Linked DNA regions of Macaca mulatta. The protein of the gene in region 2 binds, or shares a complex with, the protein of the main gene of each other region. Links are inferred from orthologs where the notes say so. Each region holds a gene or a part of one and is shown on either strand. Other genes may lie near its edges. The genes, in order: SH3BP5 and MAPK10.

Region 1 (16,451 bases), on a different chromosome or scaffold from region 2:
AGTGGACAGGTGCTGGGGAGGGAAAGGAGAACACAAGGTTGCGATTTACCAGTGTCACAACTGTCCTCACGGTCAGTCTGTCCAAGAACAGACTGCGAGGCCGGGCACGGTGGCTCATGCCTGTAATCCCAACACTCTGGGAAGCCGAGGCAGGAGGACTGCTTGAGCCCAGGGGTTCGAGACCAGCCTGGGCAACATAGAGAGACCCCATCTCTACAAAAACAAAAATTAGCCAGGCATGGTGGCGCGCTCCTGTAGTCCCAGCTACTTAAGAAGACTGAGATGGGAGGATAACTTGAGCCCAGGAGTTCGAGGCTCCAGTGAGCTATGATTGTGCCACTGCACCCCAGCCTGAGCAACAGAGACCAAGACTGTCTCAGGAAAAAACAAAAACAAAGCAGGAGGCTGGGCATGGTAGCTCACACCTGTAATCCCAGCACTTTGGGAGGCTGCAGTGGGTGAATCATTTGAGGTCAGGAGTTGACCAGCCTGGCCAAAATGGCAAAACCCCGTCCCTACCAAAAACACAAAAATTAGCCGGGTGTGGTGGCACATGCCTGTAATCCCAGCTACTCAGGAGGCTAAGGCACGAAAATCGCTTGAACCTAGGAGGCCGTGGTGGCAGTGAGCTGAGATCAAACCATTGCACTCCAGTTTTTGAGACCCTGTCTCAAAAAATAAAATTAACTAATTAAATAAATCAAGCAGGGCTCACACAGGGAAACTAACTGTCACATCATACCAGACAGGCCACAGCGCAATGCCCTGCTGATCCAGTGACGACAAAGTCCATCTCACTGCAATCCTGGCCTGTACGAGCCCTCCCTCTGGCCCCTTTCCCAGGGCCAATCTGACAAAGAAAGGTCATGGCAGGACCTGGGGGAAGAGAACGGAGCTACTGCCAGGCCCCATGGCCAGTTTGACCCCAGTGGACATCTCATTGGAACCTTCTCTGTTTGCAGCGCTCAGCGGGTCTCAGCCCTCCCTGCCAGCCAAGCAACAGGCTGGGGAGCTCTCAAACAGCATCCCTTACCATCCTCCAGGTCACCCAGGGATGTAGGCAAGAATCACAGCCCCCAGATTCAAAGATGAGAAGACTGCGGCTTCCATGTGCCAAGTATCCCTAGAAGTCAGCAGACCTCTGATTTCAACCTGTATCACCTGATGTCAAGACCGCTGTCTTCCCTCCACCTGCCCTTCCCCATGGCTTTGGGCTTTGGTTATTTCACAGCAAAAACTGAGACACGATCCTATTTTAAAGAAGAAGAAACTGAGGCACAGAGATTACATAACCTGCCAGAGGTCCCACAGCTATGACAAGGGGAGCTGGGATTCAGCGTCAGACAGTCTGGCTCCAGAGGCCAAGCTTTGCCAGCTGTCCTATAGCTAGGTCACTCTTCAAGTTTCAAATGTTTCCCCACTCACCTCCTTCCCCAAAGGGAAATAAGCAGTCTGGGGGGATCACTGAAGCCCAAGACCTTAAGTACCACCATTCTGATGGCCAAACTTCAAGTCAGAGCCGTGGGGGCAGCGCAGCAGCCCTGGCTCAGGCTACCCTGAAGAGACGCAAAGACCACACACGTTTTTTCTTTACAATCAGTCAATCACCAAAGGTCCTGTTAACACTCCACCTCTCCCCACCCCAGCCTTCCTCAACCTGCAGACGACGTCTGTACCATCAGCTCTCTTCCTCTTCCACTTTAAGGCTGCTCTGGATGTTATCTTCAGACTATTTGGGGTCTGCAGACCTCAACTCTGATGCCCCCTATTTCAACAAAGCTTTGGCCTCCCAAAGGGCCCTGAGTGACTCTCCCAGAATCCCCCTCCCCCCACTGCAATTGCTCGCTTGGATCCAGGAGATGGCAAGCTCCATGAGGCAGGGACATGCCTGATTATCTGTTGACCACCCTGGTCCCCAGCGCCCCACACAGTATTTGCTGCAGGAAGGCCTGCAGGCCAATGTTTACTTCAACCAGATCTCACCTGTGTACAAGAAGGTCGGGGATGCAGGGACTCTGCCAGCCCAGACCAGGCAGTCTGCCACCAGGCCTGGAATCTGGTGCAGCTTCAAGAAACAGTTACTCCTCCCTCCCCCGGTCTATCTATTGCTTCAAACATTCCCTAGCAGTTTCTTCAAAGCAAAACTTAGTCTTGCAGAACCTAGTCCCTAGTGCATTCCACCCACACATGTTTTAATGGAGAAAGTGCTGGGACGTATCACTGTCCTTTGATAGAGGAATTTTTCTCCTGATTTGTGCTAATAATTCATGAGAGAAGGGCCAGGTGGCTTCCAGTTCACCCTCACCTCCAAGTTTCTAAGCTCAAAACAGAGATTTTGGTTCTACCATTGCTCCTTGGGTCCAAAAAAAAAAAGTTTTAGGTTTTGTTTTTAAGAGAAAGCATTTGCTGGTTTTTGGAGGGAGGAAAGGCAGAGATAATGAGTGCTGGCTTAAGCGAGTTTGAGGAACACAGACACTCAGAAACAAAGATTTTTCAAACCACCCTGCCAGTATAAGCAGAAACTATTCCCACCTGACCTGACCAACGAGGAAAAGAAAGGACCCCTTCACAGTCCTGGAACAGCCCACTTTCAGAGCAAGCACGGGAAATGATGAAAACACTACATGTTGTGCTTAAAACCACATATATATGGGCATGAAATATTACAAATCTTTATTCTGATTAGACTTAGAAATTCTCAGTGTGGCATCTGTTTTAACAAACATTTGAAAAGAGACCTATATACTAGGCATTTTAAAATTACATCAGCATATTGAGTTTTATTACCTCACCTGGCAGGGCTGTCACACACCTGAATGACCCATTTATCTCTGACTCATCACCTCCTCTTCCATCCATTACTCACCCAAGCCTGGCACAAGGCCCCCTTGCTGGTCCTCAGCTAGGCCAGGCCCACTCCCATCTTAGCACAGATGCGCCCTCCAGCTGGAATGTTCTTCCCCCACATGGCCTGAGGCTTGCTCACTCTCTCTAGATAATACCGCATTCCTCTCCCTCCCCTTGCCTCCAAACACCCACCAGCTGAGTCCCCTTCCAGCTCTTTGCCTCCTTCGCATACATCAGATAACCTACTGTGCATACTTTAACTCTTTATTGCATTTTCCACCCCCTCTGCAATGTAAGCCTCGGAAGAGCAGGGACTTCAGTCCAGTCTCTTCACTGCTCTGTCCCCATCACCGAAAACTGCCCCATCACATAGTAGGTGCTCAATAAATACTTAGTGAATTAAAAAGCCGGTCAGGCGCAGTGGTTCACGCCTGTAATCCCAGCATTTTGGAAGGCCAAGGGAGGCAGATTGCTTTCAGCTCAGGAGTTTGAAACCTGCCCGGCCAACATTGCAAAACCCATCTCTACTAAAAATGCAAAAATTAGCCAGGCGTGGTGGTGTGCGCCTTTGGTCCCAGCTACTTGGGAGGCTGAAGCTAGAGAATCACTTGAACCCGGGAGGCAGAGTCTGCAGTGAGCCGAGGCTGTGCCACTGCACTCCAGCCTGAGTGACAGAACAAGACCCTGTCTCATTAATAAATAAATAAAGCTGACGGATCACTGGATCTGTGGGAAAATGTTTATTTTCCTAACTTAAAACATCAGGCTTATATCCAAGGCCTCTCTGGTTAAAAGGTTCCTCCTTTAACAGCTTAAAAAGGTTGGCTTTCGCTGATATAAATCAGAGTGCAAAGGAGACCCAACACTGTTCAAAATAAGGTCAGAGGCAAACCCAGGTTGCAGGAGGAGACAGACATCCAAGTGACACGGCAGGCGGCTGCCAGAGGCCCCTTTGCAATCTGGAATTTAAACAGCCAAGACAAGAAATGGGGTGTTAAATGTGGACCTCAGGAGCAACACCCTGGTCTACAGCTACCCACGGACAACTGCGGCACAGTGTGTGAGCACATTCGCAGCGACCACAAGCCTGGTCACCAATTCAGCTTCATCAGACAAAAACCATGAGAGGTGCTGAATGCCCCAGATCGCAATCAAAAGGCAAAGGGAAAGGAAATGGGGACAGCAAAATACCTTCCCCTGGGGTCCCTGAAAGTAGACTATTTCATTATTTGCCAATTCCATACTTGTGAATTCATCTACTCACTAAAATTGTTACGTAACCCCAAAATCAATACACGCAGCCCTTTCAGGTTCACTCACCGACACGCGCAGGAGCGACACTCCACCTCCTCCTTTCAGTGCCCAGCCTGTAAACAAGTGTCCTTTTCATGGTCTACTTAGTGCCATGTCTTTCACACTTCTGTGCTGTCTTTGGTGATTTTGCTGTTAAAAATGGCCCAGAAGGGGAGTGCCGAAGTGCTGTCTGTGAGCACTCCTGAGCATAAGCAGGCTGTGATATGGCTTACAGGGAAAATACATGTTAGGTAAGCGGCCCTGAGTTCAATGCTAATGAATCAATAGTATATAGTAAATAAAGTGTCTTTTAATGGAAACTGAAAAGATTAATATTGATCAGTTGATGAAAATGATGTGACCACAGGCCTGCTCCGAGCCCTGCATTTTCCCTACAACAGTGGTTCCGTATTCACTAATTCAGTGTTCACAACTTTATGGAATACAAGTACTGCAAAAACAAGACGGGGCACGGTGGCTCACACCTGTAATCCCAGCACTTTGGGAGGCTGAGATGGGTGGGGCGGGGCAGCGGGGGCGGGGGTGGGGGGCGGTGATGACGACATGAGGTCAGGAGTTCAAGATCAGCCAGTTCAAGACCAGCCTGGCCAACATGGTGAAACCCTGTCTCTACTAAAAATACAAAAATTAGCTGGGCATGGTGGCGGGCGCCTGTAATCCCAGCTACTACTCAGGAGGCTGAGGCAAGAGAATCGCTTGAACCCGGGAGGCAGAGGTTGCAGTGAGCCGAGATCGCGCCACTGCACTCCAGCCTGGGTGACAGAGTGAGACTCCGTCGCGGGAAAAAAACAAAAGACTCGACTGTATATTAAAATGGCTCATTTTCCTGCCCCCTATCCTTGGGCATACTCCCCTTGACCACCCCAGTGGCTCACTCTACCTGTTCCTCTGCAGGGGCTCTCCTGCAGGCATCTGCTCAGATGTCCTCCCGCAGCGCCCCTCCAGTGTCTGTCACATTTCTTACTGTAGCTATTACCACCAGTAATTATTACCCCCTCTCTGCTCCTCACTCCAACCAAAAACGTAAACTCCTGGAGGGCAAGGTCTTTGTCTCGTTCACCCACATAAATGCAGTGGTCAACAGTATCTGACAAGCAGCTGGTGCCCATCGTGAAGGGTGAAATCCCACCTGGCTCCTTTGTGACAGAAACACCTATTAAACCTGTGCCTCCCAGTGCCACATGTAGCTACTAACACTTGAAACATGTCTAGTCTCAAGTGAAATGTGCCCTAAGTGTAAAATATGCCAAAGATCTTAAAGACTTACTATAAAAATATATGTAAAATATCAGTAATTGTTTAATAGCAAGTCCATGTTGAAATTGTACTGTCTTGGATATTCCGGGTTACACAAACTACTTAAATTCATTTCAGCTGTTTATTTTTCATTTTTAATGTGTCTACTAGGGAGTTTTTCATTGCTTATGTAGCCCGTATTATATTTCTATGAGTCAGTCTTGGTTATAATACCGTGAAAAAGCCAGCCAGCAACCCAGCCCAGCCCCGGCCACCCCCCCTCACACCCTCCAGTTGGCCTCTCACACGGCTCCAAATGCTCTCCAGAGTCAAGCAGGAAACACCTGTCCGGTGGCTTCCTGTGACACACAAATACCTAAGTGTATTCAGAAATAGGATTCAAAAGTCAGGCTAAAAAGAATTTAACAGATTAACCAATCTCACCCCAAGAAGGTAAGCACCCTAGGGGCTGAGATGTGGGCCATCTTGTTCATTACCCAGAACAGTGGCCAGCACATAGTAGGCGAGCAATTAGAATCAATCAATGCCTTGGTGTGGGGGGTGGGGAGAGTGGGGGAGGGTAGGAAGAAGAATATTTCCAGGATGGGTATGGCAACTCATGCCTGTGATCCCAGCACTTTGGGAGGTCAAGGTGGGAGGATCACTTTGAGGCCTGGAGTTCAAGAACAGCCTGGTCAACAGAGCAAGATCCCATCTTTACAAAAAAGTTTAAAAATATGAAAAATTAGCCGGGTATAGTGGCATGCACCTGTAGTCTCAGCTACCAGGGAGGATGATGCAGGAGGATTGCCTGAACCCAGGAGTTTGAGGTTGCAGTGAGCTGTGATTGCACCACTGCACTGGGATAATAGAATGCAGGAACTGGAGGAGATCTGGAAAATGCCTGTGACTATAAGATGGGAGCCCTGCCTCTGAGGCATCATCACAAAATGCTAAGCCTCTGAGTCCTTATCTGGAAAGCAAATAGTCCCTCCCCTCCTGGTTCTCCAGGCCAGAACATTCTATGATGATAGTAGTTTAATACAGTGGCAACTAGACTGTTTAATATAGTGGCAACTGGGCTCTTGAAACGTGGCTATTATGATTGAGGAACAGAATTTTGTCTTACTTAATTTTAATTAAACTCATTAGCCAGGCATGGTGGTACACACCTGTTATCCCAACTACTCAGGAAGCTGAGGAATGAGAATCACTTGAGCCCAGGAGGTGGAGGTTGCAGAGAGCAGACATCGCACCACTGCACCCCAACCTGGGCGACAGAGTTAGACTCTGTGTCGAAAAAAAAAAAAAATTAATTAAATTCAAATAGCCATACGTTGCACATGGCTACCATATGGGACAGCATAGCTCTAGGCTGGTGTGACAGGATGGAATGAGATAAAACGTGTAAAAAACAGTCTGTAAATGCTAAAGCCCTATAGGAATGGTAAGGGTTTTGTTGTTTAATGCATTAGAAATCTGAGATCCTAAGAGGTTTCGGTTACCGCACATCACAGACAGACTCAATTCATAAGTGAAAGAAATGTAAATAAACTAGATTTTACTTCACTTAGGGAGAAGGACAGCCCGTGTTCTTGTACACCTACGATGGAAATGGAGGTGGTGAGCGATAACCCTTCACACAGCTCAGAGCAACAGACTTTTTAATCCACATTGCTACATCCAGATTTGGTAACTCCAGGGCCTACGCATGCAGCAGAAATCAAGGCTGCCTGTGAATCCTGGCAGATTATATTCCTGTCTCCCACACCCTCACTCTTAGGGACCATGTGCTTCTTGTCCCTTCCACTGACTTTTGCTATTTCTCCTGCTACAGAAACAGACTTTGCCAACAGCTCCCTGCACTGGGAAGCTGCGCTGAGAGTCCCTTCCAGGCTCTGACAGTCAATTCAGTCTCCTGAATACATACAGTGGTTGTTCAAATTTGCTGATGGGTGGTAAAAGCAACCACTACTGGAAAGGGGTGGAAACTAATCAGAGGCTGTGATGAATGCTAACTTGTTTACACTCCGGTTGGAAAATGCACATGAAACCTAAATCAAGTTTTAGTCTTCCAAGATTTTTCCCAGTAGGAAAGGCCTTTCCAGTCTAAACAGCTTTTTGTTACCATTATAATTATATTCTATGCACAAGCAGACAATAAAGAAATGAGCAGGAAAGCAGAAGGTGGGGGTGAGTTATTAGGACAGGAAAGTCAAGAAATGGTCGAAGTCAGAGGAAACAACACAACCTTTCCAGGACAAATGGCAGGAACCGCCCTGAACATGTAAGAGATTTTGTGAGCTCATTCATTATTCTTCATTAAAGAGTTCAGCTAATTTTCCTCTCTATCCTTTCAGTCACATGAAAACTTGGGGCTTAGGCGTTGTGTAACGCTCTGCACAGACTTGATTTAGGCCCCATGGAGCTTCCATAATGAAAAACAACATGTGAAATTGGATCCACATGCGTTCCGCCCACAGGTTGAGCTCAGTGGTGTATTTTATTCTGTCAGGGAGCTGTTGCTCAACTCCCAAGGAGGGGGGTCCAGCAATAACCCTCCAGCTATGAAGACAAAATTAACCAGCCTTGTGCCGGTGTGAGTGACATCACTTCACCAAGAACAGGAACTCAGCTCTCTGTACCTCGAGTTCAGTCTCCCGTCTGTTGATATCATCCGTGGACTGATTTAACTTCTCCAGTTCTCCCTGGTGAAGAAAAGAGGGAGAGAAAAAGACTTACGGGATCCGTCTTTTGTTTCCAATATAACTCAGTCCATAACCTGAAAAATTATCCCAGCCCAGTTTGCAGGAAAAGGGAAGAATTGGTATTAATTCTTAAGGCAAACAGTTGAGGCTTAGCTAGAAAAGCAAATGAATGTCAGCATTTCTGAAACCATTTTCTTGAGGGTATCCTTTTTGACAATGTCTTCAGAGACATTTGGAATTTGTCAGAGGTCAAATATTCCAGGTATGTGCCTTCAGGTAAATCCCACCTGTTACAAATGGTTTAATGGCCTCATCAAAACAGCACCATCTGCCTTGAGCAAGAACTTTGCTTAGAAAACAATAAAAGACAATAAGCAAGGCCAGGCCAAAAATATAAACCCAGTGAAATCATCAAGGGCAGAATTCTGGTATTAACTCACCAGAATTATTTTTCTGTAAAGGGTGAAAATCTTTTCACACTGCCAATTATTCAACCTACTTAGCTGGATGTTTTAAACTAGCTTTAATCCCATTCATTTCAATAAACATTTACAAACTGACATTTTGTAAAAAGCATCCAACATGAACTTAACTCATCTTTACTATGCAAACAAAGGATCTTGCTAACATAATCCCATACCAATAACACACGATTTATTCCAAACCAATTATTTTAATTAATAGCATTCCTAATGCAAGGTTTTTTTTTTCCACCTGATCTTTATCTTGCTAACCTGACAAAACAATTCATTTAAACCCTAACCACTGAGTTAAGTGAGCTTTTAAATTGATCTGTGCACTAAAAAACCAATTAGGGATCCAGAAATTACAGAGCATGCTTAAAAGCAATTTTTTAAAAATGATTTACTGAAAAGGTAGAATAAAACGGGTCTTAGAAAGGGATCTGCTCTGCTTTTTGCTTCGGGGTGAAGAGGTTAAACTGTCACTCCTAGATCTCGGCTTGGAAATTGTTTTTTAATCATCTCTCTTGGAAATGGAGGCACAGTCAGCCAGCCCAATCCCCTCGCCGCCTCCACGCGTCAGCTTTGCGCATCAGTTGTCCCTGATTTCTGTTCATGCCCAGCCTCACAACAAGGAAAAGCAGGGTTTTAAGCAATTTCAGGCCAGGCGGAACGTTGAGCCGGTGGTGACAGTAAGACGCTCAGTTCTCTAACAATGAATCAGAGAAGGAAAACGGCTCAGGCCGGGCACCTTGGCAGGTGAGGACTCTGCACCCGGGGCACCAGTGCCAGCCCGCGCTGCAGGGGCGGGCAACGCCCACCCGCCTACGGTGCCCGGCGCCCACGCGGGCGACCCCTCCTCGCAGAGCCTGGAGGCCATGCCTTGCCCGCGGTGCCGTGGTGGCCGGGCGGGGGGTACCCCCGAGGATACCATGGCGCCCCCGCCCCCTTTTTCCCTTTGTTGCACATCCGCCCGAACCACCAGGCACTCTGCGGCGACCCCGATCCTGCTAGGGGTCTGCGGGGGGCTCCCCGCAATAGAGTCAGGCCGCATCCACGCGGGCACTGTAGCCTCCTCATTGTGGAGACGATGAAACAGAGCATACAGATCGTCTCCTGCCACCGTATGTGGCCGCCAGTCCCCAGACCACAGTCACTGGGGGCTGCGAAGTGGATGTACGCGTAGACGCCGACCTCCGCAGCAGCCCTCGCGAAGCCCGGATGCGGGGTGACCCCGCGCGCCCTACCTGGATTCGGGGATCCACCTCTTCTTCCTCCTCCAGCCCCTGCTCCATCCCCTTTTCCTCCTCCTCCTCCTCGTCCCGTGCAGGCGGCAGGAGCTCGGCTGGCTCCTCCGAGCGGCTCCGCTTCAGTGCCGCGTCCATGCGGGCAGTCGCCACGCGCGCCGCGCAGTGGGCTCCGGAGCGCCCTGGAGGTAGCGGCCGCCACAGGCTGGGCTGGAGCCGCCTCGCCACAGCCGGGCACGATCAGGGAGCCGCCGGGGCCGACACCCGGGAGGCACAGCTCGCCGATGCGGATCCCTCTGGCCGCGGCGGAGCAGAGGAAATGGGCGCGGCCGCCCCCTTTCTGCCGCGGCAGTCAGCGCAGCGCCCGCTCCGCCCCCGTCCCGCCCCGGCCGCGCGCTCCTCGGCCAGTCCCAGCTACCCAGGTCTCCGTCACAAAACCCCAGCTCCCTCCACATCTCCAAGGTGGCAAATTAGGAGAGCCCCCACCCCCTTGTAACTTAGCAGCCCGGATATATCTCAACTGCGTAACGCAAGCCTCCCGCTTTCGGGAGTCCCCTTCTCCCGCCCTCCTCCGAAGCGCGTTGTGTGTGGTAGGAGGCGTGGGGTGTTTTCACGCTGAAGTCGCCTTCCGAAGCCTGGGCTTAGTGACCCTGGACCTCAGGACCAAGACTTGCCGAAACCCTGTACCCAAAGGCACATTCCTCCCCTTGAGCGAACCTTGGGAATGGCACCTACTCAAAGATTTCCCCAGAAAAGCAAACTAAAATGTGCGCTTATATAGACACAGGAGTGTAGAGAGGAGAGCCAGCTGCAGCTCCGTGCACGGATGCATCGCCGAAGGCTGCGGCCTCTCTGGGCGAGCCCCGTACCAAACACAGAGGTGCGGCGGTCCTACCTGAATAGCCAGGAAGCATGGAGAATGCATTGAGCTGGGATGCCTGTGGGCAGACACAGCCTTTTTAAGGAGGTGGCAAGTGTAACCCCTGTTGATGGGCACACTCTGGCCAAGAATTTATGAATTAGTGAGACTTCCTGCCCACCATCAACAAGTAGGGAGACAGAGTTGGCCTGGCAGACACAGCATCCGAAAAGACCAAACTGAAGAGGCATGTGTGTGCTTTTATGAAATGTCAGGGCCACTGTGATGTCAGGGGAACCCAAAGGATGACCTTGGCAAAGCAGGTGAGCACATAGCTGCTCACATCTCCTTCCTTTGAGAAATGCAGAACGTGCACATGTTCTACACGGAGGCCTGTAGCCCATCTGCTCTGAGTTTGGTGGACAAATTTGCTTGAGAATGGAGCTTCTTTCTGAGAACCTATCATCAAAACCACCTTACAAAACCTGTGTCTGGCACGACATGGTAGCTCATATCTGTAATCCCAGCTCTTTGAGATGCCAGGATACAAGGATCACTTGAGGACAGGAGTTCAAGACCAGCCTGGGCAATACAGCCAGACACCTTCTCAAATAAATAAATAGTCCTGCTTCTGGTGGTTTTATCAAAAAGTAGGCTAGAGGGTTACTCCTAGGGAAAGGCACCACCCCATACACGCTGGCACTATAGTCCACTGTCAAAGGAAAATTGTCCTATTTTCTGGAGGTAGTGCCATGGTTTGTTTCTAAAAAGGTCAGACCTGCTCATTGCTCTTTAAATCAAGGATGAGTCAGCAATTCTGTGAGAGGTGTTTCAAAGTTCCTTGCTAAAGACATAGTTGCTTTTGGTTTTCCAATGATAGACGAAGCCAGGGACAAGATAGCCATAGGGGTCACTTTGGAACACAGGAGCCACCAATCTTCCCTGGTGGCTTGGAATTGAGCCTCCAACTTTGCAGGTACATCCTAGCTCTGAATAAACTGAGAGACAGAGTTTGAAATAAACAGAGGCCTCTGGGGTCAGCCCTGACTATGATAAATGCTTCTTAGCTAGCAGAACCCCATCCTCTCCATCGCAAATGACAAACTCCAAATTACATTCCTGCTTCAGCTTAGGTCAAGAGCAAAATGTATCTGTGAGACATAGGCCAACTGCTCAAGAACATCAGTTCAGACTTCTGTTGTCTTATTTTTTGGAGATCTGGACCAGCTATAGTGTTAATCCCAATAGTGTTTCTAAAGCTAAAATAAGAAAAACAAATAAAACACAGGCAGTACTATATACAGTCAACCCTCCACAGCCTCTCAGGTTCTACATGTGTAAATTCGACTAACCACAGATAGAAAATATTTGGGGGAAAAAAACACAACAATTAAAAAAATACATATTTAAAAATACATGGCCAGGAGTGGTGGCTTACACCTGTAATCCTAGCATTTTGGGAGGCTGAGGCAGGAGGATCACTTGAGGCCAGGAGTTCCAGACCAGCCTGGGCAACAAAGCAAGACTGGCTCTCTCTCTAGAAAAGAAAAAAAAAATACAGTATATGAGAACTATGTACATATTTGTATTGTATTAGGTATTGCAGGTAAGAAATGTGGAGATGATTTAAAGTATACAGGAGGGGCTGCTCATGGTGGTTCATGCCTGTAATCTCAACACTTTGGGAAGCCGAGGCAGGTGGGCTGCTTGAGCTCAGGAGTTCAAGACCAGCCTGGACAACATGGTAAAACACCATCTCTACAAAAAATCAGCCAAGTGTGGTAGCTCATGCCTGTAGTTGCAGCTATTTGGGAGGCTGAGATGGGAAGATTGCTTAAGCCCAGGAGGCGGAGGTTGCGGTGAGCTGAGATTGCACCACTGCCCTCCAGCTTAGGTGACAGCAAGACCTGTCTCAAAATAAATAAATATATAAATAATAAAGTATACAGGAGGGGCCAGATGTGGTGGCTCATGCCTGTAATCTCAGTCCTTTGGGAGGCCAAGGCAGGAGGGAGGATCACTTGAGGCCAGGCGTTTGAGACCAGCCTGGGCAACAAAGCAAGACCTCGTCTCTAGGCCAGGTGTAGTGGCTCACATCTGTAATCCTAGCACTTTGGGAGGCCGAGGCAGGAGTTTGAGACCAGCCAGGGCAACACGGTGAAACCCCGTCTTACTAAAAATACAAAACTTAGCCGGGTATGGTGGTGCACGCCTGTAATCCCAGCTACTCGGGAGGCTGAGGCAGAAGAATCACTTGAACCTGAGAGGCAGAGGTTGCAGTGAACTGAGATGGTGCCACTGCACTCCAGCCTGGATGACAGAGTGAGACTTTCTCTCAAAAAAAAAAAAAAGAAAAGAAAAAAAAAAACACCTCATCTCTAATAAAAATTGTTTTAAATTAGCAAGGCATGGTAGCACATGCCTGTAGTTCCAGCTACTCTGGAGGCTGAGGTAGATCACTTGAGCCCGGGAAGTCAAAGCTGCAGTGACCCCTGATCATGCCACTGCACTCCAGCCCAGGTGACAGAGGGAGACCCTATCTCATAAAACAAAAAACAAACAAACAAAAAAACCATGTTTTTAATGAAAAAATAAATAAAGTATACAGGAGGTTGTATGTAGGTTACATGTAAAGACTGCCATTTTCTACAGGGGATGTAAGCATTTCAGATTTTAGCATTACAGGGGTCCAGAAACTAATCCCCAGGGAAATCAAGGGACAACTGGATATATTCCCTATTGGCACATATGTAGTGCACATAAATGCATAGCAAAAGGCCTGGAAGGATTTATACCCAGTAAAGAGTGGCTACCTCTGGGAAAAAGGGAGCAGGGAGTGGCCTAGGATTGGCTTGGATGGAGGCAGGGGATCAAAGGAAACTTCGTTTCTCAGTAATGCTTTTATTTTTCACAAAAAGGATATGTTTATTATTGTTTTGTGGAATTTAAAGATAAATTTAAAATAATGCATACTGGTCAGGTGTGGTGGCTCATGCCTGTAATCCCTGCTACTCTGGAGGTTGAGGCAGGAGAATCACCTGAACCCAGGAGGCAGAGGTTGTAATGAGCTGAGATCGCACCATTGCACTCCAGCGTGGGTGATAAGAGTGAAACTCCGTCTCAGAAAAAAAAGAGAAAGAAATGAGAAAGCATACCACATATACTTTTGGGGAAAGAACACTCCAGAGACTGAAGCAGCATGTGCAAAGGTCCTGAGGTGGGAATATGTCTTGGGTGTTGGCAAAAAAAGCAAGGAGATCCATGTGGATAGGACGGACACAGCCAGGGAGACAGGGAGGGAGATGAAATCAGAGGCAGGCATGTGGGTAGACCATGGAGATGCTTTAGGTCATGGTAAGGAATTTGGATTTTGTTCTGAGTGAGTGCTCATATAATAACTCTGGCTAGTGTATGAGAAATTGACTCGGTGGACATTGAGGAGCTAGGGTCAGAAGAGACAAAGGAGATCCATTAGCCTGATGATCAGCCTTTTCTGATTGCTTCTGTTTTTTCAGCAAAATAATGAGCCACGTCATCAGCTGAGAATGAGGGGATGGAGGGCAAAGGGCATTGGAGGTTGGAGGAGAGAGGCTTTGTGAAAGAGCTGGCCAGGAGAGTTGGTGACTGAGTTGACCATGGGAATATATTATAATTGCAAGGCTGTGCTGATGACCCACCTGTGGTTTGAGAGTCCCAATGAACCCAGTCAGCAAGGACGAGTGGATTTTCCAACAGTACAGTCTCCAAATCATTTCCATCTTTCTAACCCTTGATTCAGGGCTTCATCATGGCTCCCTAGACTCTTTTATAGTCCCTCACCCTCTTATGTCCACACTTCCCATTTGATCTAGCTTAGATTCCATTGTCCATCATTAAAATCACCACAGCTGCAGCCAACCACAACTCCCTCACGCTTCTCCATGACCACGGTAAGCACTTGACATAATCCCAACCCTGGTTCAATCCCACGGTCTTACTACTTTGCACCTGTACTCAGTAGCTAAGATAAAGTGCTGGGATTACAGGCGTGAGCCACCATGCTCAGCCAAAGAGTTGGGGTTTTTTTAGTTTTGTTTGTTTTTTGCGGGGGACAGAGTCTCACTATGTCACCCAGGCTGGAGTGCAGTGGCATGATCTCAGCTCACTGCAACCTCTGCCTCCTGGGTTCAAGCCATTCTCCTGCCTCAGCCTCCTGTGTAGCTGGGATTACAGGTGCCTGCCACCACACCCAGCTAATTTTTATATTTTTAGTAGAGATGAAGTTTCACCATGTTGGCTAGGCTGATCTTGAACTCCTGATCCACCTGCCTCAGTCTCCCAAAGTGCTGGGATTACAGGCGTGAGCCATCGCACCCGGCCAAGAGTTTTTATTTAACGTTTTTAAAGTGAAGTTTGCAAGTGAAAGTGGTCAGCAACATTAATTCATTTGTATTTTTGTTTTGTTTTTTGTTTTTAGATCTAGATCTGCAGAAAGCAACATTAATTCAGTACACTTTTCAGCCCCTACTATATGCATGCACTATTTCCAGGGCCAGTTTGAGGGTCCCAAACATGTAGATGACAAATTCCTAGTCTTTTACTTGGGGAGACAGGCCCTCATGAAACCTGGGCCCCAGGCCCGGTGTAGTGTCTCACACCTGTAATCCCAGCACTTTGAGAGGCAAAGGGAGGAGGATGGCTTGAGGCCAGGAATTCAAGACCAGCCTGAGCAACATAGTAAGAGCCTCCCCACACCTCTACCAAAAAATGTTTAAAAATCAGCGGAGTGTGGTGGTGCGTGCCTATAGTCCTAACTACCCAGGAGGGTGAGGAAGGAGGATCACTTGAGATCAGGAGCTCGAGGCAGAAGTGAGCTAAGAAAGTGCCATGGTACTGTCGCCTGGGTGACAGAGTGAAACCCTATCTCAAAAAAAAAAAAAAAAAAAAAAAAAGGTGCCCCAAAGCAGCAGCCACATGAATCCCTCATTGTGAAGTTAAGACTCTTTCTGTCAAACTTCAATGCCATTTAAATTAAGATTCCCTGCAACACCATTTTTTTTAATGCTTTGTGAGCTAGGTGTGCTGGCTCACACCTGCAGTCTCAGCACTTTGGGAGGCCAAAGTGGGAGGATCACTTGAAGCTGGAGTTCAACACCAGCCTGGACAACATAGCAAGACCCCATCTCTGCAAAAAAATACAAAAATTAGTTAGGGGGTGTGGTGGTGTGCACCTGTAGTCCTAACTACTCCAGAGCCTGAGATGGGAGGATTGCTTGCACCCAGGAGGTTGAGGCTGAAGTGAACCAAGACTGCACTACTGCATTCCAGCCTGGACAACAGATAGGGACCCTGTTTCTAAATAAATAAAGTAAAGTAAAGTAAAAATGCTTTGTAACTACCTGTTAACTCCTAGAACAGAAACTGCTGTCTGGACTAAGAATGAATCTGCATTCACATCACACTCTGGTGTCAATGTCAGAAGAAACTGACAACCAGCATACCCTCTTTCTCCACCAGTGATATTTACGTGGCACCTTAGGTCAGAGGTTGCAAACTGGAAGCGACTGATGGGATCAGGCCTGGGGCATGTGCTGCCTGGCTGACATAGCCTTTATAAATTTGAGCCAGCAGTTAAAACTAACATGAAGGAGGCTTGCAGCAGCGTGGGGTGGGGAGGGACTCATGCATGGGCGCATAGCCACCACACCCCACCCCCATCCCCTGCACTAGCAAGGTCCCCTGGAAAAAAAAAAAAAAAAAAAACTAAACATGAAAACAGTGATCTAACATGAAAATGCAG
Region 2 (16,001 bases):
AACAAGATGGCATGCCCTGGTTGGGGTTTGGGATGGTAGAGGCAGTCAATGACTGGATAGTTCTTAGAAAAAACTTCTAAGGAAGCATTGTAAAACTGCTTTCCTGTAAATTTTATTGAAAGGAACAAAATCTGAGTGAAGCTAAAGTCATTGATTTCTTTTATCTGTTCTTTGGACTACATAAAAAAATTGACTTGGCATATTTACTACTCTCTAACTTGAAAGTCAGCATGGGTTTAAGTATGTTTAAAGAATGTTTAGTAAGACATTTAAATATGAATGTGCATTATAATGTTGTTCAAATAAACTACACTGTAAAAATATATGCTATGAAATGTTTTAATCATAAAACTATAGTGAAAATTAAGTATATGATAGTGTATGTATAACTAAGAAATACTTTACACAAGAAAAATAAGTATTAAGAAGTGATCCTCTGGATATTAAAATAATTAGCAAACTAATAGGTAGAAAAGCAAATATGTATTGTTTATTTTGTTCAATTTTATTTTGCCAACACTCTAATTTAGTAACCAAGACAATTCCCTGTGATATCATCTAGATCATATCAACCACCAAGAAACCCCCACAATGTTTCTCAAAATGCAAAGATAGTTTGAATGTGGGAAAGTAGTTAAACTTCAGTCATCAATGACAATTTCATGAGATTCTCTGATTCATCAAGACATTTTAACTATTTTTGCTTAGGGTTCAAGTTTAAAAGTTCTGTGAAGAGAGAAGAAAAATGTTGATTATTATGATAGCATTATCACATCATTTTTCAGCCTCAAAGTAATTTAATATAAATTACTCTGAATAATTCCAGGTGAAAGACATGTGAACCTCTGATTGCTTTTTGAAATTTCTGCAGAATCTTGGAAGAGATCAAGGTATCAATTAGCATATACTTAGCTTTGCTATTTCTTCTAATAAATGTTAGAGTAATTTCAACATGCTTAAAATTGTGTAATTCTTCTGCCGATAAATAACTTGAATCAGCCCTCAGCCTTGTGTCTGATAGTCACAGTTTGAGAGGTTATCTGACTGCTCAGTTGTTGCTAGGAAGCCCTGTGCATAAAATGATAATAATTTCACTTAAAGATTAATAAAACAATTCCACTCAAAATTGACAAAGCACATTATTTAACTGAAATTTCTATAGGTTTATTTTTTTAAATATAACCATAACTTTAAACATTAAGTTATAATTTTAATTATAGGTAAAAGGGGCTAAGAAATCCAAATGGAAACATTTTCAAAAAGGAAACATTTTTTTCTAACCTATTTCATTGGAAAATACCTACTGATTTTTCAGTAAAATTTAACTTAAGCAAAAGGCTTTCCATTGTAGATGTCTTTATGCAATTTTTTTTAACTTCTAGGTCCACTTGCAGGGTCATTATCACATATGGCACTAGGCTATTAAAGACTGCTGTACTATGTAATCATCATCTTGAGATAAAGAAATACAGACATTATATAATGAATGAAAACCTTTATTATAATCTACATTATTTGTATTAGAGATTATTTTAATGTCTAGGTTCATACATATCAAGGATATAAATGTTATGTATTAATTTTCACACAAATAATTTCAGCTCCAAAAATTTTTCTAAAACAAACTAGGATAAAAAGCGGGGGTGGGGGGCGGCTTCCAAGAGAAAAATTTTTAAAAGAAAATAGAATTATCAATATGGTGCTATTTTTTGTTTGTTTTTCTGAAGGGTTAGATTGAGTTTAAAACTTTTTACTTTTTTTCTTTTTTATTGGCTTTTAAATTTAATACTGTCAAAATAGAAGAAAAGCAATCCTCATAAACGCCTGAAGAGCTAAATAAGATCTCAAAGGACAACCTCGCTATGTGAAATCAAGTGACATGTAACAAAATGTCACATGAAAATGAGAAATCCTGGCTTTTTGCTTTCCACTGACAAGTACATTAAAGAGATATGGCCGTGCAATTCACTCTGAGTATTGATTGAGAGGTTCCTTCTTTGTCTAAAATGTATTATATACCAAAGACAAAAGCATGAAGAGAGTAATTCCTACTTTTGAATAAAGTCAGCACATTTAAATATGAATGTGCATTATAATTTGTTCAAATAAACTATACTAGGCATATAATTAATCCCCAAACTATAGATAAGTAATTTAAAATGAAATAAATTTTCCTAAGTAGCCATATAAAATCTAATGGTGAAAATAATACTTCACACTAAATATAGGAAAGGAACATGGAGCAAACAGAGATTCAAGACCTTGAGATTCGTTATAAATAAATGGTTGCCATGCAGTTTTCTTATCTTCTAGACCAGCACTGTCTAATAGAAAAATGACAGTCACAAATGCCAATCACATATGTAGTTTTAAGTTTAATGTCCACATTCAAAAGAATAAAAACCAGGTGAGTTTAATTTTAACAACATATATCTTTAATCCAATATATTCAAAATGCCATCACCTCAACATAATCTATGTAAGATTATTAATAATATATTTTACATGCTTTTAAAAATATCTTCAAAATCTGGTATGCATTTTACATATAAAACATATTTTAATTTAGACTAGTTATAATTTCAAGTGCTGAATAACCGCATGTGGCTAGTGGCTACCAACTAGACAGTGCAGTTCTAGAATATGTCATTACTCTTATATTACTAGTGGAATTTCGAGACTATCTCATTAATATCCAGCAGAATGAATAAATGTCTACCTAAATACAAGCTTATTATGGTACCCACTTCTTGTTGAGTCATTTTTTTGTTTGTGTTTGGTTTTCGCTTTTGGACTTTTTAAATACCTAAATAAAAAAATCATAACATTTCTTACATAATAAAAGGATTCCTTAATAAAATTTTCTTATCAATCCAATAGAATAGTTAATAGAGTTATGGGTCACACGGTTATTGCCAATTTCCAAAACATCCATATGTAATAAATACACTAAATTCAATCCTGTATTGTAGTTGTTAAAGTTGTCAATTGTGGTTGTACTTAGATTTGCACTAGTATATGTAGTAAGGTATTTTTGTATTTTTAAAAATATATTCTACTATTATATGTAAACTTTATTGTCTATATATTACAAACACAAATCTGTACCTTTACTAGAGAGTTAACTTATGGCCATTTAAGAAATGTATCAGTCCATTTGATAATCCCAAATCATAGATAGCTCTACAGGAAAATTTCTGATGGACTCTATTGCAGGACTCAGTAGTAGAACTTAAATCAAAATTGCTTTATGAAATTATAAATTTAATTGGGAAAACAAGTATGTATGTCTATGTCACATCTCCAAGTCAGGTGAGGGAAGTCTACATTAAACTCACCTGACCACCAGCAACTTGAACAATAATTACAATTTTTAAATGCAGAAGTTCATGTTTTGAGGAGGATATGATATATTGACCTGTTAAAGACTTGATTTAGTGTCAAGAGTAGTTTAAATCAATGAAGCCATAGACAGAAGCTTAGAATGTCAGCAAGGAGAGCAACTTTTATGCCTAAATATTGTAGAAGCACAAAATAGTTTTAGAAAGGAGATGGAAAATGACTCGCAAATAGTGACTTATTTTTCTAGTTATAAAGGTAAATATATTTTAATCATTTGGGATCTGGTGGCCTCTGTTATTAAAGGAAAATAGCATTACTATTTTTAGTTGCAGGCAAGAAAGTAATTTTAGAAGAAAAAAGCCTATTGAAGTTTAATGAAAAGAAATCATTGTGGTAGGTAGTCTTCAGTACTGGTCAGATTATAGAAATCATCACTTTTTTATTACAATAACACCACTTACCCAACTTTTTGCTTCTATCTTTACTCTCCTGGTAAAATCATTATGTGTTTAAAAGGGAGAGAGAACAAAACAGGTAAAGCTGTAGCAAAAGGTACAAGGATACAGTCCCTTCCTGGAAAGAGGATTTTGTGGCGAACCATTTCTCCCATAATGCATCCCACAGACCATATATCCACTAGAACAGGAGAGAGAGGGTAGTGAAGAAAAGGGAGGAAAGTAAAGTTAACTAAGATAATTGACTTCTGAAGGAGGAGGAAAAAGAACAGTTTGATTAAAAGTACAATTTTCACCTCCCACCAAAAGTTGGCCAAAAGGTGAATTAAAACCAACACTACGCTATTACATAAACGGTGTCTAGTATTAGAACTCAAATTAATGTTTAAAAAACCATTACTTTGTGGATTCTGGACATTGCCTCTCAGTAGTGCCACAAAGTGGTGACATTGGTAACAGAGAAAAGCAATAGCTAAACCAAAAGTATCTCCATGGCAGGTGACAGCTAAAAGCCACCAAAGGGTTTTCTGTGTCATTTTCTGGATGCAGAGAAAACGATATTAACTTGTAGAGGTGGCTATTTTCACTTTCTCTTCTATTCAGTTACAGAGAATAGGGCAACAAGAGGCCACCTTTTTTTCAGGGGGCCAGGGGCAGGGACAAAACAAGATAAATTCAACCAAATCCAAGAAACCAGGAAATAACTGGAACCATGGTTTAGAGGCAAAAGAATTGCAATTCCTGGTATTTGGGACTTAGCTTTTCCTTCAGAAGTTTATTCTTGTAAATAAACATCAGTTTTAGTTTCCATTCGAAATATTTCAAGAAAAAGGACATATGATGAATTAGCACATGTATAAAGGAGTCATCTGGAAGGAAAGTGAAAAAAGTATTAAATGTGTTAAAAATTGTTACATACATATATTTATTTCCAAATTGTCAAACTTGTTAGGAAAACATGCTTTGCCTTCTCTTACCAATCTTTATCCCTTTCCAACTTGTTTTTTATTGTGGACAAAGGGAACTTTTGGGCAGAATCATTTGGCTGAATTGTTCCGTGGGGAAGGAAGGCGGGGCTAGGTGCAGGGGACAGCAGGGCATGCCTGATGTGGGAGCAAGCAGGTTTTCTGCATGATAACCTTCCACCCGTTGGTGGGGAGGGCAGCACCAGGGTGCCAGGCAGGCCTCCTCCATGGACTTAGAGAAGTCGAAAACCTAAGGCAGCGACTTGCAATTCTTTCTAGTGAGGAAAGGGAAAGGGATTTTAATATCAGCTATTTGCAGTGCCAAGATCTGAAAAGCCCGAATAGGCAAATTCAGATCCTCTCCCCCACCCCAGTCTCCTGTACATTCTTGATTCTTGACTTTGTTTCTCCTTTGACTTTTTAAAAATAAGTTGTGAAGAAAGTATAAAAATGTCCTCTTTTCTGAATGAATTAGATGTGGTATTGCCTAGTGAGGAGGACTAGATTCATCTCTTCTGAGTCAAAAGGTGCCAGAACTCTGACATTGCCCACCAGGGTGAAGCTGACCTTCGTAAGAGGTGACTTTTCAACTTCCTCTGTATAAATGCATACATATATTATCTGTCTTCTAATCTAAGAGTATACAAAGAAGTTTCTGCAAACTTCAGTGGCCAGGGAATTTTCACAAAAGTACCCTGTAGCACCTGAACATAAAAATACCCTGATTATTTTTATAGAGCTTATTAAAATAGACTGCTAAAACTAAATAGAATAGAATAGAAAATAAATATTTAAGATACATTGAATACATCTACAATCCTAATTTAAAACTATTTTAATTCCTAAGTATGTTGAATATGTTTTTCAATATGGTGCATTATTTGTAAGATATAGTCTCATCAAAATAATACATTGCAGTGCTTTCTAATAGATATTTAATAAATCCTTAGTTTTAATCAACAACACTCAATTGTAATACATTTTTAAGATTCCTTCCACAGCCTTCATTTCATTTTAAAGTGTTCATGAATATTAGATTTTCTTTAGGAAAGCAGTAGTGTCAAATTTGACATTTTCCTTTTTTATGATTTTTGGAATATATAAGAATTTATTAGGCAATTGCTACTCTAAATATTTCTTACAGAGCAACTTAAATTATTACAGAAATTCTTATTCAATTTAAATAATTTGGATTATTTCAAAGTTGTCTGTGAAGATTTTCACTCCCAGGATTTGTGTCACATTTTTGCTTGTCTTTTTCTAGAAATACAGCCATCAGTCTGAGATACGACATAAAAGCCAAATGGCTAAATGCGGTAGATTCCTTCCTGCTTTCACACTCATGCTCAGCTGAGCTGCAACCCAAATAGCAATTTTTCTCAATATCTAGGCACGTGTGCTAATCAGCATCCACTTGACTGTTTAATCAGACTCCATTTACAATTCTTTTTCACTATTAACATTTAGTGCTCTTCTAGCAAAGCTGACTTGTCAATAACATCCTTCACATTTTTAATGAGTGTTTCTTACCAGTAGTATTAAAAAAAAAAAAAAAAAAAAAACACCCTGAATATGCTATCTGGCAGCCCTACCTTATAAAAGCATGTACATGAAAGAGAACATTCCCCTTGGCTATCTACAACATGCACCCATTTTATTCACGGTTTTGATGCTGCTCTCCAGAAGCATCCCTACCGTTCTCCTTGTAGCCCATCCCCAGGATGACCTCCGGGGCTCTGTAATAACGTGTCACCACATATGGAGTCATCATGAAGCTTGTGCCTGCTGTCCTGGCCAGTCCAAAGTCCAGGATTTTCAATGTGCAATCAGACTTGACTACAATGTTACTTGGTTTTAAATCCTAACAATAAGGATAAGGGAAAAAATTAAAAGCCAGTATCAAGTGAAACATGTTATTTCCATTGACTCAATCAACATAGCAATCTTGCAGTAGCACTGATGAGGTCCCCCTGACCTACAGAGCCCTAAACAAGGCAAACGATTACTGCTACAAATAAGTTAACTGTTAGTTTTTGGATTAAAAAAAATCTTCAGAAGGTTTTTTAATCCCAGAAAAAAATTGTATTATCATTTTCACAATTTACACTGATCTTGGGATGAGGTTTTAGAAAAAAAAAATGTATCATTGATTGTCTTCTGTTACATTTCTCCTTAGGACAACATAAATCTTTCAACATATATATCATTTCTAGGCCTGACAGAAGAACAGATCAGGGCAGCTGTCTTTATGCTGCCAGAAACAAACTATGGATTTCAGTTGCACATATGACTTCTGCCAATCAAGGAGCTGAAAGCATGAGGCTTCTAAGAAGCTGCATCTCAATGAGCCAAAAACATAACATTGAACAAACTCAACTACTAGAATTTCCTTCTACAATTAGTGAACTAGGTGCCAATTCCAATATCAAAGAAATGAGGAAGTATATTATATTTGACCAATGCCCCCTGTATAAAGAAAATAATCTACAGTTACTCTTCCTCTTCTCTTAAAGCATTTGAATTGTAATCCTAGAGAAGGTGTTCTTACCCTGTGAATAATTCCAGCAGAGTGGAGGTGCTTAATGCCACACAGCATTTGGTACAGCAGGTAAGACATTCGCTCGTGGTCTAATTCCATCTGAATCACTTGACATAAGTTGGCATCCATCAGTTCCATTACTAAGTAACTAGAAGGGTAAATCCACAATGTTAGTTCCAGGTCACGAGATCTATGAAGTCCTTTCAGTTAGTCAGAATTCTCTCCTAACTCTGTAAGTCTTCTGAACTTCTTAGCTCTGCCTTTGACTGAATCAAGACTAAGAATTTCCAGGTATTGCATGTGTGTTAGCTATACAAACCCTACCACAAGGTTGCTAGTAGAAAAAGTATTTATTAGTGTGTGGTTTGTGTCCATAGAGTTTTTAACCTTAATTTTGCCTTCACTTTCCCCTGTATACCCTCAACTCTTTTGTGAGTATTATAATTTTAAATAAGAAAAAAATTCAGAACAGCTTCTTCCTAAATTCAATGTATCTGTGTTAAGGACAAGGTACTAGGGAATCACTTCCTCTCCTCCATCTGTTGTCATTACTGGGTAGACGTTGCACAAAATCAATGACACTACAAAGATCGAAAGAATAAAGATAATTTTCATGTCCCTTTTATTACTATTTCTTTTTATTTGTTTGTTTGTTTTGAGATGGAGTCTCGCTCCGTCGCCCAGGCTGGAGTACAGTGGTGCGATCTCGGCTCACTGCAACCTCCGTCTCCCAGGTTCAAGCAATTCTCCTGCCTCAGCCTCCTAAGTAGCTGGGTCTACAGGTGCACACCACCACACCTGGCTAATTTTTGTATTTTCAGTAGAGGCGGGGGTTTCACCATGCTGGCCAGGATGGTCTCGATCTCCTGACCTCGTGATCCATCTGCCTTGGCCTCCCAAAGTGCTGGGATTATAGGCGTGAGCCAGCATGCCTAGCCTTATTACTATTTCTTCAGGTAAATTAACTCATTGTAGAAAGTTCATGGAATCTATTAATAATCATAAATAAATAAGCCTTTCCTGAGTGACCAAGAGTATGGAACAACAGAGCATATAAAGCCACAAGGTCAAAAGGAGGCAGAATGTCTTTCCACACACAAACAGAATCTTCTTGACCTATCACTGGACCCCTTTCATTTGACCCCACCTCTTACCTCTCTTTGATCAGTACAAGGGATTTCAACTCTGTGTGTGTGTGTGTGTGTGTGTGTGTGTGTGTGTGTGTGTTATTCCCTTGGGCTATCTAAGTGCTGTGCTCTCCCTTCCTTTATGAGTTTTGTTACTTACACATCTTGGAACTCCTCCAGCGTTTTCTGGGGTGTGAAGACATTTAATAAACTAATAATCTGAAAGAGAGCGGAAGGGACAGAGGAAAAGAGAGAAAGAAAAAAGAGAGAGAATGTATTATTTTTAAATTTTATTTCAACTCAAAGTCACTCACTAATGCTATGGTGGAAATGGAGAAATTGGAAAAATTTCTAGAGCTGTCTCACAGGACACAGAAAAGTATACTCAGAAAGAACAGATGATCTGTCTTCAGGTTAATAATGCAGCTAAAAAGCTCAATTCTTGGGCAGAAGAAAGAATCAGAGAGATGCATAATTGTTCCACTGCTTTCAAGTGTGATTCCTCGTGGCAGAATATGGGCCTTTGGGGGATTAAACAAAAAAGGAAGAAATGTGGCGTGAGAAGAGAGGTGGCAGTAAAACACTGTGCGAAACATAGCAAGGGGATACTTCTCCTCCAGATGAACAAAGTCGTATTCTACTTCATGACTTTTTTGTGTTGTTACTTTATATTTTTTTACTTCTACCTCACCCTCAAATATTAAACTAATGCTCCAATAATATGTGTGGGGAAAGGTGCATTCTAGATGGTATCAATGATGAATTTAGTAGAAAATTATTTAGAAGTTTTCTGCATTCAGTTAGAAGCTTTTTGTTTCCTGCTTTATTTTATATATTAGCTAGTAAAGAAATCTACCTTCTAGCATAAGCAAATTTTGTAAAAACCCCTTGTCACATTTCCAAATAGAGTTCATAGATCAATAACTCAAAATGTTCTTCCAGCTAAATATTTGGTACTAACGTGCCAGCAGGAAATGAATATAAAAATATACAGATACAAATCTTATACTCACAAGATAGTTGCAACTATTTTATAAAAAATAGATAAGTACAAGGTCAAGATTTAAGCAGCTTCAAAGCATCAATCAATGAATTTCAGTAAACTCTATAAATGATATAAAGACATATGGAGTAATAAACATAAAATGAAATTAAACACCTGAGAAATTGACTCAATTCTATGGAATGTTTTATGTCTCATGTAGTTTTAACTTATTGAGAAATTGTTGACAAAAAATAATCATAGTACCATCCAATATTTTCTAGTATACATATATATGGCAATGGTTGTCATATAGTTTTTTAAAAAATCATCTTTTCTAAAGCAACCTTTCAGTGTGAAATATTCATATAGAAATAAAATTGTTTTAAAATTATCTTTAAAACTTGTGATTAAAGTGCCATGTTATTCTGTATACTCAGTGCTAGTGAGTGTTGAAAACTGCCTATGAAGTACATCTTTCACTGTAACATCTACAGTGGGTCTGTTTCTCTAGGACTTTATCAATCTCATAAAGTAATTTATTTCATTTTGATATTTGTTCAAACAAAAACATTAGCGATTGTGTATAGAGCACACATTCCCCCCCACAAACATTCACATGAACACTCCTTAACAATGGATAAATGCTAACCCAGATCAACTAGTGAACAAATAATCCAGATAATCTAAGAAATCTAGAAAATAGCATTACAATTTTAAATAAATCAAGTTTTATTGTTTTAAAAGATAATTTATCAAGATCTATTCCCTACTGTATGTTCTTATTTTCCCTTTTCCTATGACCTTGTTTTATCACTTTTCACCCTTCGAGAAGTTCTCCTCTAGCCTTCCTTTGCTGTCTTATAAATTCTAATTCCTAGCAAGAGCCAATTTTAAAAATGCCTCTGTAGAAGGAGATTATCACAGCTATAAAGTTTCCATTTTAATTCAACAGTTTCCAGAGAGGAATCTCAGTTCTTTTATCCCAGCATCTTCAGACACACGGATGTAAATCCGTGTTTGTCAGGCCCCACTAGTTCCTAGAATTGAATATTTATATTCTTTTTTTTAAATAACAATTTTAATCTAATTTTCAGTTGATAATAAATACAGAAAACAGGCGACCAAACTAACACCATAAAGAAGTATTTTCTAAATAGATTTTCTTCGTATTATTAAAGATTTAATGAGATTACTTTACTCTTCCTTTTCTTTCCACACTATTAACAGAGTTCTTATTAATGTGGAATTTACATTTGGTTGTAGTGGATTTCCTCTTCATAAAAAGTTCCAGAAATGTGTTTCCGCAGACTTCTGCATACATACATACACACATAAAAGGAAGGTAGCAGGTGGGGTGCTATTTATAAATTATCACTGCAATCTGGAACTCTTTTTTAGGCTTCATAAATATAAGTCTCCAAAATTTCAGTCAAGAACGGGAAGTATTATTCTCTCAAACTGACCAAGCAAGTGGGCATTTCTCCACATTGTATTGCATTACAGGGTCTGGCATGAGGATGAGGGAAATATAAATACATGTATGGAAAACTTTCCATACATTTGATTCATTGCTTATATCCATCCATTTTCCATTGCCAATGTTATGCTCCATCCTCCTTGGCATAACAGAATACATTGCATTGATCATGTGGCTAACCTTGCACTTACCTTTATTTAACATACTGAAAGAACAAATTAGTATATAACTCTTCATAGGAACCATCCTTTCTATCATTTCTATATTCCTTTCTAGAAGTCTCATGTTTGTTGCATGGCTATATTAGATATGGGTGTGCAGTTCATAAAATTTTAATTTCTTGGTAAGGCCTTTGCTGCTTGGCCTATTTAAATGGGTAACCCTATCCCACCACACACTGACCAGTATTTTTAAATCTTCCTTGTTTGCTTTGCCTTACTTAATAGCACTTATCATCACCTGACATTTTACACATTGACCTGTCTTATTGTGGATCGCCTTGCTCTTGCCAATAAAGCATGAGCTTCACCTGGGCAGGGATTTGTCTGTTTTCTTCACCATCTAGATCTGTGCCTGGCACATTTTATTCATTCAACACATATACGTCAAGTGACTGAATTAAAAAGTCATCAGGGTAGAGGAATAGAGGAAAAGAGAAATACTGTCATGGGGCTCAGATCTGCATATTTGCATTTCAAGTATCTTTCAACTTAATACTAATACATTTGTGTCTTCTCAGTGCTACTTGTAGATGGCGAGCATTATGGACAAGATACCTGGTTTATAAAACCACGCTGGTAATGTGTTCTGTGTAATTTTCATACATAAGAACTTTGTAGAGATAACTCTACAAAGGTATTCTACAACCTTAGAATGATTTTACTTGTAAAAAAATTATTTTTTTATTTTTAAGAAAATAAAATTTTATTTATAATTTATTATGTATTTATATGTAAAATATATTCAATGTATTTATTATAATTTATTTATTAATAAAAGTTTTCATTAAAATAATGAATTCTCTCCTATTTATCTTTACTAGGAACAAGTGGAGCACAGAATGAATTCTAGAGGTCTTGGCCTGTGATTGAAGGAGCTTAGATTCTGAAGTAAAGAAAGTCCTTTAATGGTCTACCCAGCTGAGTTCTGATGAGAAAAAGCTCTTGATCCCATTCTCAAGTGCTTTGCAAATATGTACCTGCATACTTGCCCATCCCTGAAAAAAATAAGATGCCAACACACAGTGGATTCACTGAACAATTAGAGGCCACCACCAGACTACAGCTGAAACTAAAAGGAGATAACATGAATAAAACTCAACTGTTAACAATTAAATCTAACTTATAAATCGAAATTAAACCTAAATTATAAAGAAATATAGCATGGTGCTTTGTAGGGTTTTTTTTTTTTTTTTCCTGGCTTTTGGCTTTGCTTGTCTTGTTTCTTTTTTGGAAAGCATGAAGCTCTCAATTTGGAGCAAGATAACCAAATATGGTAAATTTTCTAACTAGGGAAATATTTATAAAATTCAGCACTTCCACATCATATGGTTTTTAGGTGATTTTTAAGCAGAAAGCTACCACGAGGACAATGAAATTGAATGCAGCATATTGGCAGGATAAACAACCTTAAGAGGCAGGAATTGCAAAGTAAAGAAAGCCTTTCTTACTCAAGTACAGACACATTTTCTTTTTCCAATCTCACAAACTCCCACCGCCAGAATTTTCAAAATAACAAAACTCACGTTTTTATGGTTCACACACTTCATGAGGACCAGCTCCCGGTACGCTCTCTTGGCATGGGTTTGGTTCTGAAAGGGTCTGCTGAGCTTCTTAATGGCCACATTTCTGTCAAGGACAGCATCATACGCGGCACTGTAGAGATCCAAGAGCAACTCAGAATTAAGAGCAAAAGATTCCTTAGAACTCTTGCCTACTTGACTAAGGACACAGGTAAAGAAAATGCTATTTTGGAATCTTACTCAGATTTTGTATACTCTGGTCACATGCCAATCAGGCTGTAAGTAAAGATATAAGTGACTTGTATAAGAATATTCTACATGCTAGAAGGATGAAGAAGAGTTGAAGGAAGTGAAGGAGAAGGGAGAAACAGGAGAAGGGGAGAAGGAGAAGAGGGCAAAGGAGAAGAAAAAGATCTTGCCAAGAATATAGAATATAATTGCCTCAGTAAGTTGGTGGAATAAGAAGTAAGACAGACATTCAAATTTCCCACTAGTCATGAGACTATAGCAAGTCATTTAATCCCTCTGAGCTTGAATTTCTCATCTGTTAATATATGATATTTAATTTTTTATAGCTATAAAACTTCATTGTTCTTTGGTTGTTTTAAATCAACATTTTTTTCTATACCCATTCACAAGAACCAGGTGTTTTGTTTGTTTGTTACTGTTTTTTAGAAACAGAGTCTTGCTATATTCCCCCGGCTGGTCTTGAACTCCTGAGCTCAAGCTATCTTCCTGCCGCAGTCTCTTTAGTAGCTGTGACTACAGCCACATACTATGGCACCCAACTAAGAACCAATTTTTAAGGTGTGATGTTAATTGCCATAAAAGCACTTGTGGGCTGATGATCAAAGTGTACTCTCATTAACAACAACAAAGCTCAAAATAAGAAATGCAATCAGGAAATTTTAGAAACATAAATAACTGCATTTAAATACAAAGACAAAAATAAATGCTATTCATATGTGAAGCTTTCACACCGAGAATGAACATTTACAATGCTTTGAAAATAGGGGTGCTTTTACACTGTTGCTTTGAAAAAGCAATCTAAATATTTGGTGCTATTTCTCTCATATGTAGAATACATAAGTTTAGAGATCAAAGGAGAAAGTGAGAGAGGCTCTTTTTGCCATTATACCTAATGATGCACTCACAAAATAAGTAACCCATCCCTGAAACTTTGAGTTCTGCTGGGTTTTATCTTAGTTGTCAGGAGGAAATGCAAAACCAGAATCCACTACAACTGATCTACTAAATTAGAAGTAACATTGACCACTGAAAGCTCACGCCACAGAACTCGGAGCCAGAAACGGAATTGCTATACCATAAGAAAATGACAGATTCACAGAATAAGGTTGAAAAAAGTCTTAGAGTTCACCGGGTCCATACTTCCATTTAACATTCATTCCTCTCTAAACTACGTCCATGAAAACTTTCACCAGTCTCTGTTTGCCCATCTCCAAAAACATGGAAATCATTGTATCTAAGCAGCTCTTTCTATTGTTGGGCAGCTTTGAGAATAGAAATGCCATCACTCTGATAAACAGTTATCTTTCTGCGGTTTCCACTGACTACTGTTAGTCCTGCCTTCCAGGGCAACTCAAAATAAAACATTTCCTTTCCATTATTAACCATAATATATGAAATCTATTAAAAGGCTGCACACAATGCCTGGCCTAGAGTAAACACTCAGTAACTCTTAGCTTTTAGCATTTTTCCCCTAAGTCTTTTCTTTCTTAAATTAAATATTACCAGTCCCCTACCATCACTTGTCAGATGTGGTTTCAAGTCCCATCACTATCTGGTCAGTTTCCTCTGAATAAACTCCAGTGTGTCAATATGCTCTGAAAATGCGGACCCTGTGCTAAATAAACATTGCTACTCTGGGTATAGAGTGTTACTGAAGATTAGGGTAGAGCTAGTAACTCTTTCATTCATTCCTTTGCTCATTCATTCAACAAACCTGTTCTGACATAGTTAAAACAGCTAAGTCTGTCCTGGAACTCTTTAATAATGACATTCCACACTATTTTTTCTTTCACTTTTTAAGCTATTTTATTTTATTTAAAGTTCCTAGGTACATGTGCAGAATGTGCAGGTTTGTTACATAGGTAAATGTGTGACATGGTGGTTTGCTGCACCTATCAACCCATCACCTAAGTATTAAGCCCATCATGCATTAGCTATTTTTCCTGATGCTCTCCCTCCTCTGCTTCCTGGCCCCAACGGGCCCCAGTGTGTGTGATTCCCCTCCCTGTATCCATGTTTTCTCATTTTTCAGCTCCCCCTTAGAAGTGAGAACATGCAGTGTTTGGTTTTCTGTTCCTGCATTAGTTTGTTGAGGATAATGGCTTCCAGTTCCATCCATGTCCCTGCAAAGTACAGATGTCATTCCTTTTTATGACTGCATAGTATTTCATGGTGTATATGTACCACATTTTCTTTATCCAGTCTATCACTGATGGGCATTTGGGTTGATTCCATGTCTTTGCTCCTGTGAACAGTGCTGCGATGAACATATGCGTGCATGTATCTTTATAACAGAATTATTTATATTCCTTTGGGTATATACCCAGTAATAGAATTGCTGGGTCAAATGATATTTAGGTTCTAGGTCTTTGAGGAATGCCACACTGCCTTCCACAATGGGTGAACTAATTTACATTCCCACCAACGGTGTAAAAGCATCCCTATCTGCAGCCTTGCCAGCAAATGTTGTTTCTTGACTTTTTAATAATCACCATTGTGAATGATGTAAAATGGTATCTCATTGTGGTTTTGATTTGCATTTCTCTGATAACCAGTAACGTTGAGCTTTTTTTCATGTTTGTTGGCCACATAAATGTCTTCTTTTGAGAAGTGTCTGTTCATGTCTTTTGCTCTCTTTTTATGGGGCTGGTTTTTTTCTTGTACATTTGTTTAAATTTCTTGTAGACTCTGGATATTAGACCCTTGTCAGATGGATAGATTGCAAAAGTTTTTCCCATTCTGTAGGTTGTCTGTTCAGTCTGATGATAGTTTCTTTTGCTGTCCAGAAACTCTTTAGTTTAATTAGATCCCATTTGTCCTTTTATGCTTTTGTTGCAATTGTTTTTGACATTTTCATCAGGAAATCTTTGCCCATGCCTATATCCTGAATGGCATTGGCTAGATTTTCTTCTAGGGTTTTTATAGTTTGGGGGTTTTACATTTACGTCTTTAATCCATCTTGACTTAATTTCTGTATAAGACATAAAGAAGAGGTCCAGTTTTAATTTTCTGCATATGGCTAGTCAGTTTTCCCAGCACCATTTATTAAATAGGGAATGCTTTCCCCATTGCTTGTTTTTGTCATATTTGTCAAAGATCAGATGGTTGTAAATGTGCAGTC

The links.
Region 1: the proteins of MAPK10 (region 2) and SH3BP5 are in contact, whole or in part, in a crystal structure (PDB 4H3B), measured with the Homo sapiens proteins. The link is inferred for Macaca mulatta from reciprocal best matches to the Homo sapiens genes MAPK10 and SH3BP5. Residues at the interface, in NP_620448.1 of Homo sapiens: Lys121, Asp150, Ala151, Gln155, Val156, Met159, Leu161, Glu164, Arg165, Tyr168, Tyr171, Val197, Lys198, Ser199, Asp200, Cys201, Trp362, Asp364, Glu367; in NP_004835.2 of Homo sapiens: Val341, Val342, Arg343, Pro344, Gly345, Ser346, Leu347, Asp348, Leu349, Pro350.

The regions. Positions count from the first base shown.
Region 1 is NC_133407.1:33,148,727-33,165,177, reverse strand, and holds the start of SH3BP5 (SH3 domain-binding protein 5), read right to left. Parts: upstream 10,130-16,451; 5' UTR 9,952-10,129; coding exon 9,814-9,951; intron 8,106-9,813; coding exon 8,043-8,105; intron 1-8,042. UniProt on the Homo sapiens protein: Functions as a guanine nucleotide exchange factor (GEF) with specificity for RAB11A and RAB25. Inhibits the auto- and transphosphorylation activity of BTK. Plays a negative regulatory role in BTK-related cytoplasmic signaling in B-cells.
Region 2 is NC_133410.1:95,409,546-95,425,546, forward strand, and holds part of MAPK10 (mitogen-activated protein kinase 10), read right to left. Parts: intron 12,765-16,001; coding exon 12,635-12,764; intron 8,648-12,634; coding exon 8,589-8,647; intron 7,450-8,588; coding exon 7,311-7,449; intron 6,624-7,310; coding exon 6,458-6,623; intron 3,979-6,457; coding exon 3,907-3,978; intron 1-3,906. UniProt on the Homo sapiens protein: Serine/threonine-protein kinase involved in various processes such as neuronal proliferation, differentiation, migration and programmed cell death.